Linked DNA regions of Neurospora crassa OR74A. The protein of the gene in region 1 purifies or fractionates together with the protein of each later gene. This does not show direct contact. Links are inferred from orthologs where the notes say so. Each region holds a gene or a part of one and is shown on either strand. Other genes may lie near its edges. The genes, in order: stk-52 and crp-10.

Evidence for each region.
Region 2: the proteins of stk-52 (region 1) and crp-10 purify together in Saccharomyces cerevisiae (affinity purification with mass spectrometry; 3 studies listed by BioGRID). This does not show direct contact. The link is inferred for Neurospora crassa OR74A from reciprocal best matches to the Saccharomyces cerevisiae genes RIO1 and RPS3.

The regions. Positions count from the first base shown.
Region 1 is NC_026503.1:5,215,388-5,219,740, reverse strand, and holds stk-52 (serine/threonine-protein kinase RIO1), read left to right. Parts: upstream 1-1,469; 5' UTR 1,470-1,715; intron 1,716-1,847; 5' UTR 1,848-1,860; coding exon 1,861-3,492; 3' UTR 3,493-3,979; downstream 3,980-4,353. UniProt on the Saccharomyces cerevisiae protein: Required for the final endonucleolytic cleavage at site D converting 20S pre-rRNA into the mature 18S rRNA. Required for the final steps of cytoplasmic maturation of the 40S ribosomal subunit.
Region 2 is NC_026503.1:4,035,068-4,039,426, reverse strand, and holds crp-10 (40S ribosomal protein S3), read right to left. Parts: upstream 2,944-4,359; 5' UTR 2,784-2,943; coding exon 2,761-2,783; intron 2,502-2,760; coding exon 1,736-2,501; 3' UTR 741-1,735; downstream 1-740. Other genes in the region: NCU11185 (protein phosphatase), read left to right, coding at 3,845-3,868, 3,932-4,359. UniProt on the Saccharomyces cerevisiae protein: Component of the ribosome, a large ribonucleoprotein complex responsible for the synthesis of proteins in the cell.

The DNA.
Region 1 (4,353 bases):
CTTCCCGTTTCCATTTTATGCCTTTTCTGACTTTTGGAAAAGGACAACCCTAGCGGAAACGCTGAACCAGATTCCAACATGGCAGAAGAGGACCCTAATGTCACACAATGAAAGCGCCGGAAATTTGGGGATATCGTGCGGGTATGTTTCGGGAGTATATCTGCGTGAAGGGAAGGACACCGATGAATGGAACAAGGTGGGAAATTTTGAGGGGCAGGAAGGGGGGATATTTGAGAGTTGAGGCTCGGAGGGAATAAAGAAGCGAATGTTCGACATGAAATGGGGCAGAGCATCAAAGCAATCTATGGAAACTCCGAGCATAAAACAAAGTTTCCGAATAGATCTCTAAGGCCCCGGGTGACCTTGACCCAAATGACTAAATATCCCCCTAGCAACCTCATCGCCATTACTGTTCCCATACCAATCATGCTGCGGCCGAGCAAAGGGGACACAGCTCATCAATCCGTCTTGAAACGAATAAGTCAGTCATCAACACCCGCTTGCGGGTTGGGCAGTCGCTGCTACTGGCATAGCAGTAAACCCGTCTTCTAGTGCGCTCGAACCATCGTCGGTACAGCTGCCCTTGCTCGTTGACCCAGCCATAGCCGGCTGGACAATCGGCGCCATTACGGCAAAAGTGATGTTCCATGTAGGAGTGGCACATGGTGAGTGAAGTTGTGAGCCCGTTTAGGCAAGGCTGGAATCCCGATGGGGGTTGCCGGAATAAAATAAAAAGGGAATTGGGAGACGCGCCTACCTATTGGATGTTGGAAACTGTGGCCCTGTGCTATTATATGCTCCGTGTTGACATCAAGTTGCGGCTCACACATGATGTAAATATGTTCATTCCTGAACTCGGGTGGTCGATGACCCATTATCCGTTTGTTGACGTGGGAGTCATCAACGACCATGAATCGAATCATCTAAACGCGTCATGTCAATGTATGCCTGCAGGATGAGGTGGAAGCAGGCCAGAAGGTCGTGATGGGTTTACTTTGATTGCAAGTCTCCATCGTTTCCATTGATGAGACGCAAATATCCAGAGGTCATATACCAGATTTGACCGTGAGTAAAATGGAATGTAAGAAGGATGATGTTAGGTTTCCCTGTAATTACCCGGGACCATGGTGTCCATTGCTAGCTTGATGACTTTGGGGATCGGCCTATGCCCCATGGGTGGAGAATTGGCTTTTGGGTGGTCGCCCCTTTTGAGCACTAACAGCTGGGTTCTGTCCAACAGGGAAGCGTACACTGGGTGCTGTTAGTGCTGTTGGCGTTGATTGAGTCACCGGCAGAAGTAGGTGTGTTCCGCACCGTGTTGAGATGTCGAAGATGCAAACCAAAGCTCAAGGAATGAATGTGGAAGTGGAATGAATCAGAATGATAGCGTCAGCATCATCGCCTAGCGTACTAACTATTAGGCGACAAGCTCACTCCAGTGGCAAACTGGTCGCCATCGGTGCAGGGGTGCAATGTCTGTACTCGGAGAGGCAAGAAAAGATGTTATGAATGCTGAAGCCTAAAGTGAGCCGAAGACTACTTAACAAGCAGCCATATCATGTGGAACGGAAACATCCAAGAACATCTTCAGTTCCATTCCAATCCGTCTTCGAGTCGAGTCGTCGTCAAGAACTCGATACTCACGGATTACCCTAACCCTGAATCTCGAAAACAGCCCTACCACTGGAAGACACCCCGCATTACGATAAGATAAGGTAAGCTCGCCCCACCAAGAAAATTGCCAGTGGACGGGAAGTGGAAGTTCGCAAGTTCCATGACGATTTCCATTTCGTCTGCCATCCTGTCTCATCACCACCTGCTGATATCGGCGGAACTGACGAAAGCAGACTCGGCAGCAAGATGGCGTCCCAACCAGAACTCACGTCGACCACAGCGGCGACCGACAACCAGAATGTCGACCTCAGCAACACCACCGCCCAGCTCAACAACCTTGCGATCGAAGAGGAAGACGACGACGACGACCTCCAAGATGTCTTTGAATCCGACGATGACCTCGACTACGAAGATGGCGGCACCGACCTGACCAAGTCGTACAACCGCCAACAACATGGCGCCGGTGCTACCAACTCTCAGCAGTCCCAAGCTCAGGCCCAGCAACAAAAACCCACAGCCAACACGTCGGCCCGCGTCGACGACCAGATCGCCGCCCTCTCCAAGTTCGCCGGAAAGATCCGCATCGACGCCTTCGACAATGCCTCCGGTCCCGCCGAGCGCAGCAAAGACAAGTCCGATCGCGCCACCTCCGAACTCGTCCTCGACCAGCGCACGCGCATGATCCTGCTGCAGATGATCAACCAGGGCTTTGTCTCCGAGATTCACGGCGCCATCAGCACGGGCAAGGAAGCCAACGTCTACGGTGCCATACTCCACCCCGAGGATGGCTCGGCCCCCATACACAAGGCCATCAAGATCTACAAGACGGCCATTCTGGTGTTCAAGGATCGCGAGAAGTACATTACTGGTGAACACCGCTTCAAGAGCGGCAGTGAAAAGGGAAACAACAGGAAGATGGTCAAGCTCTGGGCCGAAAAGGAATTCAGAAACCTGCGCCGTTTGTACACAGCCGGCATCCCCTGCCCGGAGCCCATCAAGCTCAAGCTGCACGTGCTCGTCATGAGCTTCTTGGGAGATCGCAAGGGCTGGGCCTACCCCCGTTTGCGCGACGCTCCCATCTCGGGCGACGACGCCGATGAACAATGGCGCGACCTCTACATCCAACTCCTCGGCCTCATGCGCAAGCTGTACCAAGTCTGCCGCCTCGTCCACGCCGATCTGTCGGAATACAACATCCTCTACAACAACAAGAAGCTCTACATCATTGATGTTTCCCAATCCGTCGAGCACGACCATCCCCACTCGCTCGAGTTCCTGCGTATGGATATCAAGAACGTCGGCGATTTCTTCAGGAGGAAGGGTGTCGACACGCTCTCAGACCGCACGATTTTCGATTTCATCGTCAACCCCAAGGGACCGGCCGAGGAACCCGGTATGAAGGAGACGGTCGAACAGCTGTACCAGACGAGGGTGGAGGTGGAGGATACCGCGGAGGCCAGGGCCGAGCAGGAGGTCGACAATGAGGTTTTCAGAAACCAGTACATCCCCAAGACGCTGAACGAGGTTTACGATATCGAGAAGGATGTCGCCAAGGTAAACGAGGGTCAAGGAGAGGATTTGGTATACAAGAACCTGTTGGCGGATCAAGTGGTGCACAAGACGGCGGAGGATCAGGAAGAGGAGGAGTCTGATGAGGAGGAGGAGGGCAGTGGTGACGAAGAGGAGGGTAGTGATGACGAGGATGACGAGAGCCGATTCGAAAAGGGAACACCAAGAGGCAAGAGGTTCATCGACAAGGACGAAAAGAAGCAGCACAAGGCGGCGGTTAAGGAGGCCAAGAGGGAGAAGAGGAAAGAGAAGATACCCAAGGCGATGAAGAAGAAGTTGGTGAACAGCACGTCGAGGAGGAAGCACTAAGCTGTGGTCGTCTACAAGTATCAGCTTTTCTTGGTTTCTTTCTCTTGTCTTGTTTGCTAATGGGCTCGGGTATGGCTTCTATGGCGCTAAAAGAATAATGGATCATGTCATCTTCCAGCCTGCGTATCCTGCTTTGATGCGTTTGGCGTTTCTCTCTCATACCTCACCCCATCCCGTTTGATCTGGCTACACTTTTGGCCATCATCCCTTGCGACACAGACGCAGCAAGTAAAGCAACCGGATGATGAAAGCAGTAAAGCCTGCCTGAGATTGTCGTCTCCTCAAACGAGCTTGTAATGGTTTTGCCTGTTTTCAGGGCGAAGCCTCCTGCTTTCGAGTAGAGACACTTTCTCAGAAGGCAGGTCTGAGTCGCTGGCGAGCCACCTAAAGAGTGGTCAAGCCGGGCTATGACGACCAAAGAGAGCACTGACGGTCTGCTCCCATACTGGGCGCCTATTAATCCCATGGAGATTCCAGTAGTCTCCTGTTGCCTTTAATATGTACTTATAAAGAGGAAGATGCCTCTACTATACGCTCCCCATTCCCCTTTCTTTATTTCTCCTTTTTTTTATCCCCTCAGTAGATGTTTCCAGTGGTGATATATTTTGAGAGGGCCGGAGTTGCGCTGTGGCGGGAGGGACCTTTCAGGAACGTCGGAGCTTCTTACTTTCAGTGGATGAAAGTAAAAGGCTTCTTTACATATCTTTCGAGATTGACGGCCAACCTCATAGCCAACTTCAGTTTTTGCGTCAACCTGGTAAGCGTTTCTGGAAGGGGTGCGTTTACTCGTGGATGTGATCTGAGCCTTAAAAGAAGAAAAAGATCAGCTCGCCCATGCTCGGAATCGAACTCGGGATGAGT
Region 2 (4,359 bases), about 1.2 Mb from region 1:
GGGGGCATGTCGGTTGTAGCATTTTTCTGTTAAACGTTCGCCGGTCTACAAAGGGAGAGGCGGGCAAGCAAGGCATGGGCTCAAGGCGCAGTCCAGATCGTTATGTACCAAACCATTCTACCTACGCTATCTACTTTCCCAGATGCACGCCTAGCCTTTAGTGCAACGGACGGGAAGTTCACGTTCCACTCTACCACGATGTCGAGCGCGAGAAACAGAAAAATAACGGTGGGAATCGGTGTATGGGCCCCACCACCAAGTTTGACCGAACTTGCCTAATCCGAGACCGCAGTCTCGAGGTCTGCATCAAGGAGAGTTCCCTCTTCTGAAGGGATAGTTGAGGATTTATCTGAGTGTATACCATGAAAGTCTTCAGGGTAAACGAAGATGTATAAAGAGGGGCGTATAAGTGAAGAAGAACCCGAGGCACCCCCAAAATCTGTAACGAATGGAGCGAATTGATTGTCGATCTATACACACAACACAGCACCTTTCAGACCAAGCAGAGCAAAGACCGGAGATATAGACAACAGATCGAAGTGAGGAGGAGGAGAAGGAGGGAGGGAATTCACAAGGGATTCATTTATATATGGGGACCAAGACAGATGGATGATTGAAACCAATACAACAAGAAAAGTGTTATGCGTGTCCTGACTCTCTTCTTCTTCTCCGTGAGTTAGGTACAACGTGTGAAGTATCTCTACCTTGTTTCTTATTGGTTCCAAGTACGAGCGGGTGCCTTAATGATGTGTTACCCCTTCATAGGATCCCATATTCCCAACTTTTCCGAGTCCTAACTGCCCCTAGACACTATATTCCATTACTGTTATACCTCCAAGTTGTGTATTATTCCCCTCAAACGTCCATATCCTTTTCCTCCCTTTTTAAACAAGGGACTGGTGCCAGAACAAGATCCAGATTACTTGTCTCGAAGTATCTATTTGTTAAGTCTTGAACGATTGAGCAGGAGTCTGTCAGCTTGAATATCCAAAGTCGGTGTAACCGTGTATTTCAAAACAACGTCGGAGCAAGTGAAGACAGAGCTCATTTAGTGTATGTTAACATTCATCAGTCCTCCAGTGTTCGTCAAATGTTCGGTGTGAAGCTACTATGCAAAGACGGGAAATCTTGAACGGTTGGATATTTGCGGGACACTTGAGCTGAGAGTGGCTGATGTTTACCTGCTTACATTCCATGTCCCGATTTAGGCCATGATATCATATCAACAAACCTACGGACGAATTTCTTCACATGCCTCACTTAGATTGGTGCCTATATTCCATTAATAGTCTCCTTCATCACACAAAAGGATATGGCACAATTGGCAATCGCAAAACAAGGCAAGGAAGGAGGGCTTGTTCAGGTATCTTATTTCCCTGGCGAAAGTCAGGAATTTCCCGACGTTGCTGCATTGATCGTGGGGTTACAAAAAACAATTATAATCCCAAGCAACAATCCGTCCGCCATTTCCCCTTTTCGCAAGTCTTAATGCAAATGTGCTATGACCATAGTTGACGCCAAATTGAACCCATCCATTTCCGCAACCCAGTGTTTGTTTGGACTTGCAAGCACATTGAAAAAAGACCCCGCCCAAACCCAGCGGCCTTTACCAGACAATGGAAGTATCGTCCGCGCCGAAATTGAACTCCGCCACAGGAGCGACCTCAGGCTCGTCGAAAGACACAGGCACCTCGATCGAAGGCAAAACCTCATTTGACCCGACCTTGAGGTTATCCTACTCCTCAGCGGCGGGGGCAGCGGCCTCCTCCTCACCGGCCTGCTCCTCCTGGCGGGCAGCCTCAGCGGCAGCCTGGACCTGAGCGGCCTTAGCGCCGTAGTCCTGGCTGATGGGCTGGGTAACGGGCTGCTCCTCCTTGGGCTCGATGATGGTGACGGCGTCAGGGAGAGACTTCTGGGGGCCGGACTTGCCCTCGGGGTCAGAGCCGCGCATGATCTTGACCTTGATACCGAGGACACCCTGGCGAAGGAGAACGTGGCGAGTGGCAGAGTCGATGAAGTCCTTAGCGGGCTGACCGGAGTGGATCATGAAGCCATCGGTGAACTTCATGGACTTGGCGCGAGCAGCGCGGAGCTTGCCGGAAACGACGACCTCGCAACCCTTGGCACCGGACTCCATGATGAAGCGGAGGACACCATAGCAGGCACGACGGACGGCAAGACCGTTGAGAAGCTTGTAGCGGAGGGACTCGCACTGAGCGACGGCGGAGAGACCGCGGTTCTGGACCTTGGCGGCGTAGAGGGAGACAGAGTTCTCGGGGAACTTGAAGCGCTTCTGGATGAGCGAGGTGAGCTCACGGATGCGGCGGCCCTGCTCGCCGAGAACCTCCTGGGTGTGGGTGGCGCGGATGATGATGTCGGTGACGGTCGGGGTAACGCGGACCTCGACACCGGAGTAGCCCTCCTCAGCGAGCTCGCGCTGGAAGAACTCGTTCAGCTCGGCGTAGAAAACGCCATCAGCGACGAACTTTCTGCGCTTGGAACTGTAGACAGAAAGAGAAGCAGTCAGCATCAACGCCGCTTTTGTTGTTTTCCAAGCCACCACTTTCTAAATCCCACCCCGTCGGCTGAATCTGCTGCAACCAGCGGGCAGCATATCTCCCGGCTTCGTGACTGAACGCCTTCGTTTTGCATTTGCACCCCCACAGCAGCAGCAGATCGCACCGACGTGTAGACAGTCGTGAAGACGTGTAGTAGACATGTAGGAGGCTTCCATGCTCTTGGTTTGCTCTGGTTGCTTACATCTGGGTGCCGGGAACAGCCATTTTTGCGATTTGGCTATGAAGGTCCTGAGGGCTTCAATTGTGCTGCTGAGGAGGATGGAGTGGGATACCTTCTCGCGGTGTTCACCGGACTTTTCAAAAAGATGGGGGGAAATTCGACCGGCACAGCTACTTTTTTTGCGAATTCCTTGGTGGGCTGCCCTCTGCCGCTTCTGAGTGGCTGGCTGAGTAGGGTTAACAGCCGCCACGGCTCATCCCGGCTGGCAAGCGGCTGGCAATCCGCACCCAGTCTGCGCGCCCAACGCTAGGTAGGAGCCGCCAAGCGCAACCCAAAAAAGGAGATACGTACAGATCTCACATGTGGGGTTGAGGTGCTTCCTTGCGCTTCCCGTCCCCGTCCAGGCCCAGCCTTGCGCCCAGACCACCTCGTGCACTTCACTTCCTTTGATTGTCAGTCGTTGCTGGCTCGGGCAATTTCTGACACCGGCAGGCACCATGAACGTTCCGTCCTCAGTCGGGTTCGGGGTGGCGCTGATAGTGGGGTGTCCATCGACGTCAATCGTCGCTTCCCCGGTTCCAGAGCGCGTTGCACTCCAGATGCTGACTTTCTGCTTGTTCGCAAATCGCAGTCACTATTCGCATACCCTTGGATTCGGACGGCAGGAGGATTAGCAGCAGAGGTTCTGTAGCTTACAAAGTTACCAGTCCCTGTCGCCTTTAAATACCTGTCCTCCAAATCGATTCCACGTGGACCTCGGGGACAATCTCTTGAAATCCCAACAAGTTCCGCGTGAATCACTTATCGTTGACCGGCACCAGTGACTGCGCGGCGAAGTTCCTCCTTTTCGTTTATATCAGGACACATGTTCCTAATTGGTACATTTTTCTGTTTCCCAGTCCTGCAGTCTGGCACTATTGTACAACTACGATACATCTTAAGCGAAGCAGATTCTATTCTCCCCGTTCCTCTCGCCGCAACCGCATCTGTCAACACGTCTTGCGCTCCTGTCCGGACACATTGGGTCTCGGACGTCCGGTCTCCTACCTCGGCTGCACAGCGCCTCATAGTGCCGGGGTAGTTAGTATTACCTCCCAACATCACGATGGCGGCGCCTCACCTCAAGCACGTATGCTCTCCATCATCTACCTTTCCAACTACGTCTCGTTTTCTTTACTGAACCGAATGCCAGACTTTCGCAAACATCCATGCCTTGCGAGGCGGAAAGCCGGAGCTCGGCGACCTTGCGCTCAGTGACTACCATCTCGTCTTCCGCTTTCCCCCCGAGTCTTTGACTGCCGCAGATCCGAGTCTGAAAAAGAGTGTGAAGCAAGTGTGGTTTGCCTTCCACATTATTTCACAGTGCACCCTACGGCCCACGCCCCCTTCTAGTGGCGTTCCTTCCTCGATACGTATTCGGTTCAGAGATTTTACATATGTTAGCTTCAACTTCGCAGGCGACAAGGAAGCCCGGGAGGCATTCGAGTTCATCAAGTCCAGAACATGCAAGCTAGGAAGCGTCGATAAGCTGCTGGCCTTCAGCTACCGACCTCCACCAAACTCACCCGAAAGTAAAATCAACGGTTGGGACCTATACGATGTCAGAGCCGAGTTCCGCCG